Xenopus tropicalis: one gene and its partners. The protein of the gene in region 3 purifies or fractionates together with the protein of the main gene of each other region. This does not show direct contact. Links are inferred from orthologs where the notes say so. Each region holds a gene or a part of one and is shown on either strand. Other genes may lie near its edges.

Region 1 (4,270 bases), on a different chromosome or scaffold from region 3:
CCTCCCATCAGAATGCGTGATCTGAGCTACCAACGGCTAGAGCTGCAGCAGGAAGCTACGGAGACCAAGCTAAAATGGCAGCTGCTATCTTAAACAAAAGGCTTTTTACTCAGGTAGGTAAAGCTTTCTGCAGAATAATTTGGCGACTCTATTGGCAGTAAAATGCCAAAATGACTTTCCTTCTACTTTTAAGTTCTTTAAACGTCGTTTTGCTGCCCCTGGTAAACTTGAGGGCTGCTGCTGCCTGAGACGAGTTTCTCAATTCGCCTTATGGCCGCAGTGCCCCTGTATAATAAAATATGTTTTATGGTTGGACAGCTTTAGTCCACAATAACTATAATGACTATTATGTAGCTTGGCACCCCAAAAGCGACTATACATTTATAAAAGATTTCTAATAAGTACCATTTGTGAAAATAATTATAATATGGAGAATTGTTCATCTAATGAAAATACTAGCATAGATTAGGGGGCACATTTACTAACCCACGAACGGGCCGAATGCGTCCGATTGCGTTTTTTTCGTAATAATCGGTAATTTTGCGTTTTCTTTGCGATTTTTTCGGCGTCTTTACGATTTTTGCGTAAAAACGCTAGTTTTTCGTAGCCATTACGAAAGTTGCGCAAAGTCGCGATTTTTTTCGTAGCGTTAAAACTTGCGCGAAACGTCGCGCCTTTTAAGTTTTAACGCTACGAAAAAGGTGCGACTTTGCGCGCAAGTGTTAACGCTACGAAAAAATCGCGACTTTGCGCAACTTTCGTAATGGCTACGAAAAACTCGCGTTTTTCCGCAAAAATCGTAAAGACGCCGAAAAAATCGCAAAAAATACGAAAAAATCGCAAAAAATACGAAAAAAACACAAAATTACCAAAAAAGTCGCAAAATGTTCGTTTCCAATCGGAATTTTTCCAATTCGGATTCGAAATCGTGTCTTAGTAAATCAGCCCCTAGGTGTATACACAAACTTTATAAATATTGTGATGTCAACAGCTTGTGCACTGCTTCTTTTTCTTTTTTTGATGAACATCTTAATATCTACATTAATTTCAGGTAGCTAAAATATGAAAGTGTGTATCAGTGGCTTTTCGAGACAAGGCTCTGATGGCAGCAGGTACTGTTGGCAACAAGGACAAAGTCTTTCTTTCGTTCCCTGTCACAATTCAGAACTCCGACTAGAAAATATGAATGACTTCTGAGGAAACATCGGGGGCAGAGGCGGCAGCGAGCATGGCGGTCACCCAACACCAAAGAAAAGTCTTTTTTCTTTTGTTCTCTATCAAAAGTAGGAGGTGCGAGCATTGGAAAAAGAGATTGGGAGCTGACCAACCGCGGCTGCCTAGCAGCTTCCCACCGTGTAACACTGAGCCAGGCCGGCTCGTCACTCCCACAAGGCGGCGCGCCAATGTGTCAGTGCGTTACGTGTAGCGGCGATGCCAGTCTCGCGTGAGGAGAGATGTGGCGCTGGGAGTGTGTGTAGGACCGGAGCCTGCAGTAACAAGCTCTTCGGGAGATGTAAGTAGCGATACGGGACTAAGGGCTGTGTGAGGAACAGCGGGACTGTTGCAGTATGCACTTACTTCCAGACTTGGGGAGGCAGGGCGGGAGCTGGGGTACCAGCATGTTCTTTCCCATACATAGGTTTCTGTACCAGTGGTTTTGTGACAGAAGCTTTAGTCCCGGTAGAGCTGGATTGGTTAAGCTGGGGGTGAAGTTCAAACTCCCTCCTACCCTATTCAGTTCCCGGGACTAAAACTTCTGTGACAGAACAAGCAGAATACAAGCTGTGTAGGAGAAAGAACATGCTGGCACCCCGCTCCCGCCCTCCCTTCACAAGTGTGCAGCTCATTGACATGAACGGGCTCGGTAATCCTGCAGCGCTGCCGGTTCCCTTTAGGACCCAGAAGTCACCCACCCATTCGCCACCGATGCTGGCCCTTCCTTTGAGGGTCCCCAGGCAGCTGCTTCGCGCACTGAGCTGCTGTTACATGCGAATGATTGTATTCAGTGTGCGGGTCTGTAGCGCTGCATATTGTCTGTGTGAATACATTAGTGCGTGGGGGAAGCCTTTGTGCTATTGCCTTTACTTTCTGGCGTGTAAGTTCTTGCAATAGGGACTCTTTTTTTCAGTGCAGTTGTAAATGAATTCGATCCTCGCACAATAAATGAGTTGAAGGCGGGGATGGGGCGCAGATTTAGCGCACATTGATATTAAAGCTGAGTGGTTGTGATAAGTGCAAAGCAGGGCCAACCTGCAGCCCCACAGTTGTTTCCTATCATGCACCACCTCCAGCATGTGGCAGCTAGGTGTATGTGGGCTGGCATGGGCTGCTGGGAATTAGAGTTCAAAGGCTAAAGAAGGTTGGACATAACTGAGGGCTGCTGAATTTGGGCATTTTAGGTTTTATTGGTGGGGTGAATACCCTTCTATTATCACATATTCTCAGTATTAACACATTTGCTGCTGGATTCCAAGCTGTCTCTGGATGCAATGTCAGCACTAGAACTATTCATCAGAAGTGTTTATTCTGTTGAGCAGCAGCACACAACACTATGGGATTTATTTATATTGCTGTGTACGAGTATGTGGAGTGAAACATTACCGGTGATGTTGCTCATAGCAGCCAATCAGGTGCTTTGGTTTTCTAACTGTTGAAATCTGCTTGCTGATTGGTTGCCTTGGGCAATATCACTACTTTTTACACAGCAAGATAAATATACCCCTATGTGTGATGCCATGTGTTGGCAGGAGTGGTGTAAAGATCTATGTCACTGGACTCCAAGGAGGTGGAAGATGCCTCTCTCAAGGCATGAATCATTCCTCGCATTTGCCCGTCTGACTTAGTCTAGTCTGGGTAAGGTAGATGCAAGTAGGACTACTACCTGCTTGAATGTGTAAGGGTGACAATAAAGCTGGAAATGAATAGGTGTCTGGGTCCACTTTTTAATGGTCTGGGATAGGGTTCTTGGTCTTATTAAAAGCAAAGCTTAAAGCTTCAGTGAACAATGGCATTCTTGATCATTTCTTTCTTTATACTTTGTGGCAACAGTTTAGGCAAGGTCATTTTATGTCTAGTATATTAATACCCATCTTGCACAAATTGGTTTGCTGAGATGCAAGCGAAAAAGATTGATCTCAATCCAACTGATCACCTCTGGGTACAGCCCCCTCCTTGGCTCCTAATAAGTTTACAAATATAAGTACACATGCACTTACTGAAATTCTAGGCATGCCCAATATAGTTGATAAGCATTTACTCTTAAGGGTATGGCCATGCAAGGTGAATTGTTAGCCTGCATATAAAATAAATGCCACCCCTGCCATCTTAGTTACATTACCCAGGTGTCCTGCTTTAGATTTAGACTGAGATGTATATGCAGTAGGGTAAAAATTTCCATTTGTACTCTGCTGAGGTAGAAATACCTGATACTGCAGCCAGTATATAGCATTCCTAACATATTGGCACCATTCAGTGAATCAGGGTTTCCTTATCCAAAATTGACTTTAAGGCTTGGCCCTCCCTTCTAGTACTTCTAGTACTTCCCTGTGAGGCCATACCCACAGTTTGGCAACTACTGTTGCAGGATGTGTATCCACATGCATCTGAAATATTAATGTGCATTGCATTAAACACATAGGGTGTATGTTTGTTTGTTTTTTTCAATATGATTATAAATGCACAATATTTTGTCCATGCTTGTAGTTATGTATGTGTGACAGTAGTATGTATAAGTGATCACTTTATACAACAACTAGGATATTGCCATGCATACATTGTAAAATGTAACTGCAGATGGAGAAAAGGAATGTGTTTCAGGTAGCAGGTAAGCTTTTTTTCTGTTTTTAGTCTCCTGATACAGAGATTCTTTTTCAGTATTCTGTGTTCCACAGTCTCTCCATGTTCACTGGCCATTTGTGGTGTGTTTAGATTCAGTGGGTGGCAGCAGATGTTGAAATATACATAGGCTATAAATGTGCTTTCACAGACTGCATTGCAAACTTTGGTTTACAGCTGATTGAAAACAGAGCAAGGAGCATTAAAAATACAGTGCAATGCAGGTGCTTACGCACAGTCTTGTGAGTATGATGCTGTAGAACAACATGTGTTTATTTTAAGATCACTTTTTATGCAGTTGTTCTATAGATTTTGAACTCAATTGGCATAGCAGATGGCCGATATATTATTATGGTACAGTAGCTTTAAGGGGCATGGATCTCTACACATAAAAAAAAAAAAAAAATACACTACAGGTATTAAACATTATAGGACT
Region 2 (4,268 bases), on a different chromosome or scaffold from region 3:
CACACCTACCAATCTATACACTCACATACATAAACTATAAATAATCTCTAATCTAAAGGGGTGACCTCTGGTGCATTGATTGTTTTTATGGGAAAAAAGAACATCCCCCATCTGCCTATAATCCCCTCTAATGTACTTGTAAATCAATGTTTTAGGGGGCCCTGGCCAGCAATGCTAACAATGTATGTGTGTCCTTTGTACTGATGGGAGGGGTCACTGGGGGCGGGCACATGAGAAGAGGGGGGCCCAGAAAATTTTGTTGTGGGGGGCTTCATGATTTCTCAAGCGGCCCTAAGTGTGTATATATATATATATATATATATATAATCTGTTCTTTGTGTTTGCTCAGTTTCCCTTGTGTAATATTACATTTAAACTCGGAAACAACTCGCTTTGCAAATATGCAGTACCAGGTAAAACAATGGAGCAGCAAATACTTTTTCTCATCACTGTAATTACAAACTAGGGTGTATGTTCTATGGCCCCATCCTACTAAATTAGCAGGGATCTCCACCTTCACCAGGGGGTCCCAATTAATAGTCTGATGGACACCTAGGCCCCCTGAATGGTAAGCCCTGTCTCAAGTAAAATAGGGCCTCAACGAAACAAAAATTGCCCCTCCTATACAGTGTGTTCTAACCTGTCTCTAAGCTTAATTTAAGACAAAACTCCAACAAAACCTTGCCCACTCATCCACAAGCCCCATCCCTTTTAAGAACCTGGAATCATGCCTTTTCATCTCAGGACACCTGACTGCTGATGTACGTGTACTCCAATAATGATTGCCCATTATCAGGGGCCATTTAGATAACTTAAAAATGTAAATTGTGCATTTCACTTATCTATGGATAGCTAATGTGTGTTGCCTCATTTTACAATTTTACTTTTTAGAAACATCAGGTGCACAATTTGCAGCGCTCATACCCTAGATCTGGACACTTCCTTTTGCTCAATTGTATAAGCACTCTGACAACGTTACAAGAGTTTCTTCTACTGAAATTTTCTGACTGTAGTTTGGTTGATAGAACTGACCAGCAGATGGTGCTATTATTTCAATTTAGACGCATTAGCTGTGTAAAAACGTTTACCAGCTTAAAATCTATGAATACCTAATAAAAGTGGCAAGAAGCCCAATTTTACATGAATGTATTTAGAGTTAACGTTTCCTTTAAGGGTAGCCGGCTTTCAAACATCGCTGTAACTGCAGAGAATACATGGTTAGATATATAGATAAATGCAGGTCTCAGCAATAAAATACATGTTATGTAGACAGGAATATACAAAACACTGATTATCACACTGGTGCCGATACATCAGTCTCTATAAGCCGCCCAGTTTGTCAAAGAAAGGGCGAGACTCTTCATACTATCGCGATGTTTGGAAAGCAGAAACAGACACGCCTTGGGCTTTGCGTTCCACCGCAAATGTTCTACTGAGACGGCGGTGTCACGTCACGTGGGCGTCGCCTGAGAAAGATGGAGGCTTCCGGTTCTCTGATTGTCAACAACAAAATGAGAACAGGAATCGGTGGTGCGGTAATTGGCAGCCCCCAACCGGGCAAGGGACGAGAGTACAACCGTACACAGCGCAAGGATTCAGAGGTATGAGTAAAAGTGGTTGTTATGTATAACTATATTGCATTAACATTTGTGTTTGATTAGTACTCAGTTATCCTCGAATTACCCTTGTAATGTAACTGTGTGCCAGCTTTTATGCTTACTTAGTGACCGGGGTATGTCTGGGGAACCTGTGACAGGAAGACAAGACAGTTCTTACCTGATTAAAAAGCCCATTCCAAAAGGAATCTCACATCAGTTTTGCGAACTATTCTAAACTGCTGACTTGTCTTAGTTTTACTGTTCACCAAAAATATATATTATAGTTCTTCGTGGTTGCTGTCATGTTAATATAACCTATAGTTATCAAAAATATTTAATTAAATCTCCGTCATCCTGAAAGTTGAGCATTTCATTTAGAATCACACATTATATTCCTGTTCTGCAGGAAGATGCTGTGACAGAAAGGCACATGTACCTCTGCAAATGTAGTGAGAAAAGTGCAGTTTTGAGCGTAATTGCTGCAGGTTTTTGAAAAAATGTTGCTTTTTCCCCCAGAATTTGAGTCATTGTGGTTCTCAGTGGAGTGATACGCCTGGCACAATTGCTCTGTCTATTGCAGTTGTATCTGATTTGCAACTGTGTACCCAAAATTGGATGCAATTGCGCCAAAATCCAGCTGGCGTCAGTTCTACTGTTTGGTCTGTACCTGATTCTTTAGGTGCAGCAAGTGTGTGGCAGCTCCAGGCTTCCCCTGGTGCAGCAGCTCTCAATTTGGAACGGAAGGTAGGAAGGAGAACATAAAAGTGGTGCTAGGTGCAGCTGGTTGGGGGGAAACTGGGGACCACTATTGCACTCGTGGACGTAAATGAGCCCTAAAGTGTTCCTGGAAATATCATGCCCATGTATTATTCAAAAAGTTGAATTTAATGCAAAGCTAAGATTTCACCACTTGCACCTTTCTCAGGGTGGAACAAACAAATGGTATTTGGGAGCAGCTGTGCATATTGTAAAAGTAACTGAGGAGAGAATTCTTTGGGCTGTAAACATGATTCAGACTTAAGAAAATAGTATAAAAATGTACCACTCTGTCACATGGTTTCACAGAAAATGCCTGAAAGTTAGTCTGAGGGTAGAGGGCCCTGGGTACTCATGAAAATATTTCAATGAGCAAAAGATCTCCTAGCATGGCCTTGCTTTTACTAGTGAGATTTTTTTTTTTTTATTGGTCTGTGTTTACTGCTTCATCACCTGGGGTTTACAATTGCTCTCGTAATGTGTTATGCTATAATGTGACCCTATTCCACGGTTACTCTAAAGAACCAGGTTGCAAAATGAAATCACTTTCAGTTTCATTGTTTTCCCTGTTAAGTAAAAGAGCTACTGAAAATATTACCTAAGCAAATTAGCCTTTGAGGAAAAAAGGTGTAACACGTACAGTGTCTGAACATCTATGAATAAAGTTAGGTCTCAAAACTGATTACATTTAAATCTCCCAGACTACTAAGAAATATGGTTTTGTTTGCATCAGTCTTATGAGAAAGAATTGATATCTTTCGAAGTTATAATTTTTTTTTTCTTTCCAAGAGTGCAGTCATATTCTGTGACTAGTTGCAAGTGCATTGAAAGCTGTCCACACATAATTCAGCGTGGAAATGCAATAATAGGTATTTGTATTTGCTCTCTGTGAGTGAACAGGTATATCCCTTGCCTAGAAGTGCACACAGAGGGGGCAGAAGGCAGCAGATCAGCTTTTCTCTGCTGGTGTATCTACAGCAATGGGGAAAAAAAACATTCCATGTGCCATTAGGGCGAATGGTCGCAGCGACTTTCCCTTCAAAGGATCCTGTATATGTTGCTGCGACTAATAGCACACAGGTTTTCGCTGCGTAGAGAAATCGCAGCGACTTTTTAAAGACTTATGCCGACTAATCGCCTTGTGTGTCTTCACCCTTAGGGCTCTGGCACACGGGGAGATTAGTCGCCCGCAACAAATCTCCCTGAAAATGTAAATCGCCGGTGGGATGGCATAAGCGGCGGCGCGCTTTCACTGAAATCGCGGAAGTTGCCTTGAGAGGAAACTCACATTTTTTTTACATTTTTGCCGGTGGGATGGCATTTCTGGGAGATTAGTCGCCCGCGAACAGGGAGATTTGTCGCGGGTGACTAATCTCCCCGTGTGCCAGAGCCGTTAGCCTTCCAATGTTTTTGGATAAAAGGTTTTTTTTTATGACTTTCTGGGCTTTTGTGTCCAAAGAATGATCAGATAAGACATCCTCTTACCACAGATATTAGTTATTTGATTTAAAGGGAAGGTCTGAAAATTGTTGTTAGTTTGACTGTTTGGGTATAATCTAACAATCTGATAATGATAGAACAATTTGACTGGTCCATCTCCCAGTCTCTCCTGTGAACTATCATATTTCCAAGACCGCAGTCTTCATGTTGATGATTTATTGTTCTACAGTATACATCAAAGATGACCATTTGTTGGTGATACTATTTACATGCCTTTTGTAATTATTTTTATGTGTGCAGACAGAAAACATAAATATGCCATAAAGTGTTTTAGCTGTTTGTTGCCAACTTGAATGATAAAATAAATTTAAAATTGTTGCACTGGGTTTCTTTTTTTGTTTATTTTTTTATGGCACTTCTGTTCATTTTAGGGCTATTCGGAGTCTCCGGACCTAGAGTTTATATATGCTGATT
Region 3 (3,500 bases):
GAACAGCTTTTTGGGTCTGTCCAAAAGAGGGACCTTAGTCAGGCCGGGGAACTGTACCCAAGTAATGTCTGTTGTCTTTCTTCAGGGCCGCCATGTCAAGACTGGGCAGCTGGCCGCTATCAAGGTCATGGATGTCACAGAGGTAAGAATCCCTTGGGTTTGACCAGCGGCCCCCAAACTATGGCCCGCGGGCCGGATCTGGCCCCCCAGAGGAATTTACCCGGCCCCCGCTGCGTCCTCCCACCTGGCAGTGGAGAGAGAGGACTCAGCGGGGAGCGGCACAGGGGAGCTGAGATGATGGACGGACCGGGGCAACTGGTACAGGTAGGACATGCCGGGCGGGATATGAAAAAGGATGTGGGCTTATTCATCAGCACCCTCCCCCCTGGCGGCGGGAAGGGGGGGGGGGGTTGCTGGTGATGGCGGTCCGGCTCCCCAAACTGTCTGAGGGACCCTTGATCTGGCCCCTTGGGTTAGAAGTTTGGGGACCCCTGGGTTAGAGGTTCTAAACATTCCGGGCATTCATGGTTTTTGCCATAAAGCAACACAGGAGTGCAGTTTGGTTGCTAGGTTTTGTAGATTGTAAGCTCTTTTGGGTAGGGCCCTCTTCACCTCTTGTATCGGTAACTGATTGCTTTATATGTTACTCTGTATGTCCAATGTATGAAACCCACATATTGTACAGCGCTGCGGAATATGTTGGCGCTTTATAAATAAATGTTAATGTAATGTAATGTAGGGAGGAAGTAGGGGGGCCAGGAGTTCATACAGGGACTTGGAGTGACTAAGTGTTTTTTGACTAAGTGTTTTTCTCCAAAAAACTTGGTGCCCTTTAGCAGCAGCAGCATTAGTTTGCAGGTATAATGCTTGGGCAGAGTCTGTGTGTATTAGTATATATATCTATATATCTCTGTATATTACATAACGATATTCATATGTGTCTCCCCCGAAATGACTGTCACTGAGCGTGCCCTTACCCAGCCTCGAGCTGATTGGCACTGATGTGCTCGTTAGCGTTTCACCCAGTCACAAGCTCAGGGCCGTGCCAGCCAGGGAGTCTGGGTAATTATGTCCCTAGTGCTCTGTATGAGCCTAATGGAGCGGCTGTGCTGGTACTGAGGTACAGAGCGCCGGGGAGCTGCCGCCGATGCAGGGCTAATGAATAGTAAGCTCTGTGCCGACACTCGGCCCTAATGCACCCATCTCCCCGGCAGGACGAGGAAGAGGAGATTAAACAGGAGATTAATATGCTGAAGAAGTACTCTCATCATCGAAACATTGCAACCTACTACGGAGCTTTCATCAAGAAGAGCCCGCCGGGCAATGACGACCAGCTGTGGGTGAGTGATTGCAAGCTCTGCGCACCAGCCTGTAGGATTTGGCTGCATGCAGGCAGGAGGTTTATGTATGTTGTATCCCCCCCCCTCGTAGCTGGTCATGGAGTTCTGCGGAGCCGGCTCAGTAACAGATCTAGTGAAAAACACCAAAGGAAATGCCCTGAAGGAAGACTGCATCGCCTACATCTGCAGGGAGATTCTGCGGGTAAGTGAGCCCCACTGTGTAAGGGAAACACTATGGCACCTCCTACCCATATGTATAAATACAAATATACAGAGAAGGAATGTTCTGGGCACACAATAAGCTGTACCCCCATACTGTACTGTCTAAGGGAAACACTATGGCACCTCCTACCCAAATGTATAAATACAAATATACAGAGAGGGAATGTTCTGGGCACACAATAAGCTGTACCCCCATACTGTACTGTCTAAGGGAAACACTATGGCACCTCCTACCCATATGTATAAATACAAATATACAGAGAAGGAATGTTCTGGGCACACAATAAGCTGTACCCCCATACTGTACTGTTTAAGGGAAACACTATGGCACCCCCTACCCATATGTATAAATACAAATATACAGAGAAGGAATGTTCTGGGCACACAATAAGCTGTACCCCCATACTGTACTGTCTAAGGGAAACACTATGGCACTTCCTACCCATTTGTATAAATACAAATATACAGAGAAGGAATGTTCTGGCCACACAATAAGCTGTACCCCCATACTGTACTGTCTAAGGGAAACACTATGGCACCCCCTACCCATATGTATAAATACAAATATACAGAGAAGGAATGTTCTGGGCACACAATAAGCTGTACCCCCATACTGTACTGTCTAAGGGAAACACTATGGCACTTCCTACCCATTTGTATAAATACAAATATACAGAGAAGGAATGTTCTGGGCACACAATAAGCTGTACCCCCATACTGTACTGTCTAAGGGAAACACTATGGGACCTCCTTACCCATATGTATAAGTCCAAGCAGTTGGTGCCATAAAGCAATCCTTTCATGATGTAATAGATATTAGAGAGCAGTATAACTTTTTGTTTGTTTGTTTTGCGCAGGGGCTGTCCCACCTACATGCTCACAAAGTGATACACAGAGACATCAAGGGGCAGAATGTCCTTCTCACAGAGAATGCAGAGGTGAAACTCGGTAAGTCATAGCTTCGCTGCCATATGGCTTCCCCCAGCCTGTATGGGGCTACACGTCCTGCTCATTGGCTAGCCCAACCCAGCAGGGGCCACTTGTTTGAGTGCCCAGTTTGCTCAGCCGCATTTGTCTGACCCAGTTGCTAGGCCCAAGGGCTTGTGATCGGATAGGAGTAGGGCCCTGTGAAGCCATTAGGTCACTTTGTACCTTCATTAGATCCTCTCCCTGATTCACATTCTGCCCTGAACAGAATGACTGCTCTGTAACATTCCATTGTTTCTTCCCATCACGGTGCCCCTCAGTGGACTTTGGTGTGAGCGCCCAGCTCGACCGCACAGTGGGGAGAAGAAATACTTTCATAGGGACCCCATACTGGATGGCCCCTGAGGTGATTGCCTGCGATGAGAATCCAGATGCCACCTATGATTACAGGGTAAGATGTCAACTTCCTCCCCATTGGTTCCTGACGTTTGTATTGCCAATGAATTCATTATACACAATTTTGCACAATTGCCTACCATTGCCTACCATTTTGTGTCCTTTTCTCCGCAGAGTGACATCTGGTCGCTGGGAATCACAGCTATAGAAATGGCCGAGGGAGCCCCACGTAAGTTTCTTCTCGTACGCCCCTATCACTGACCAGGGCCCTGATTCGTCTGTCACTTACAGATCTAATTGGCAGCTTGTGCTGTCTGTCTCAGAGTGAGGGAGGAGTTAAGACACTGTGAGCTTAAGGCAGGGGTGGGACTGGCCCAGGGGCCAGAGACAGACTGTAATGTGTTCATCCCTCCAACCCAACCAGTAATGAAACGGACTTGTGCCCAAACCTAGCTAAGGCTTTACTTTCCCTTTAAACACCTATTTTTCAGCTTTATATCTTGTTTTTCCATCTGACTGTGCTCTCTCCTCTCCAGCTTGGAATGTAGCAATGCTATTTTTGCATTGACAGATTCAAGGACTCTTTATATTCTCTGTTTTCTTACATTTCTTGCA

Evidence for each region.
Region 1: the proteins of mink1 (region 3) and nck2 purify together in Homo sapiens (affinity purification with mass spectrometry; 3 studies listed by BioGRID and IntAct, counting the BioPlex papers as one, with this or other methods). This does not show direct contact. The link is inferred for Xenopus tropicalis from reciprocal best matches to the Homo sapiens genes MINK1 and NCK2.
Region 2: the proteins of mink1 (region 3) and strip1 purify together in Homo sapiens (affinity purification with mass spectrometry; 3 studies listed by BioGRID and IntAct, with this or other methods). This does not show direct contact. The link is inferred for Xenopus tropicalis from reciprocal best matches to the Homo sapiens genes MINK1 and STRIP1.

What each region holds. Positions count from the first base shown.
Region 1 is NC_030678.2:110,108,230-110,112,499, reverse strand, and holds the start of nck2 (cytoplasmic protein NCK2), read left to right. Parts: upstream 1-1,470; 5' UTR 1,471-1,513; intron 1,514-4,270. UniProt on the Homo sapiens protein: Adapter protein which associates with tyrosine-phosphorylated growth factor receptors or their cellular substrates. Maintains low levels of EIF2S1 phosphorylation by promoting its dephosphorylation by PP1.
Region 2 is NC_030678.2:72,084,791-72,089,058, forward strand, and holds the start of strip1 (striatin-interacting protein 1), read left to right. Parts: upstream 1-1,468; 5' UTR 1,469-1,475; coding exon 1,476-1,601; intron 1,602-4,225; coding exon 4,226-4,268. UniProt on the Homo sapiens protein: Plays a role in the regulation of cell morphology and cytoskeletal organization. Required in the cortical actin filament dynamics and cell shape. Part of the striatin-interacting phosphatase and kinase (STRIPAK) complexes.
Region 3 is NC_030679.2:147,595,649-147,599,148, reverse strand, and holds part of mink1 (misshapen-like kinase 1), read left to right. Parts: intron 1-85; coding exon 86-142; intron 143-1,214; coding exon 1,215-1,340; intron 1,341-1,431; coding exon 1,432-1,542; intron 1,543-2,419; coding exon 2,420-2,510; intron 2,511-2,809; coding exon 2,810-2,940; intron 2,941-3,059; coding exon 3,060-3,114; intron 3,115-3,500. UniProt on the Homo sapiens protein: Serine/threonine kinase which acts as a negative regulator of Ras-related Rap2-mediated signal transduction to control neuronal structure and AMPA receptor trafficking.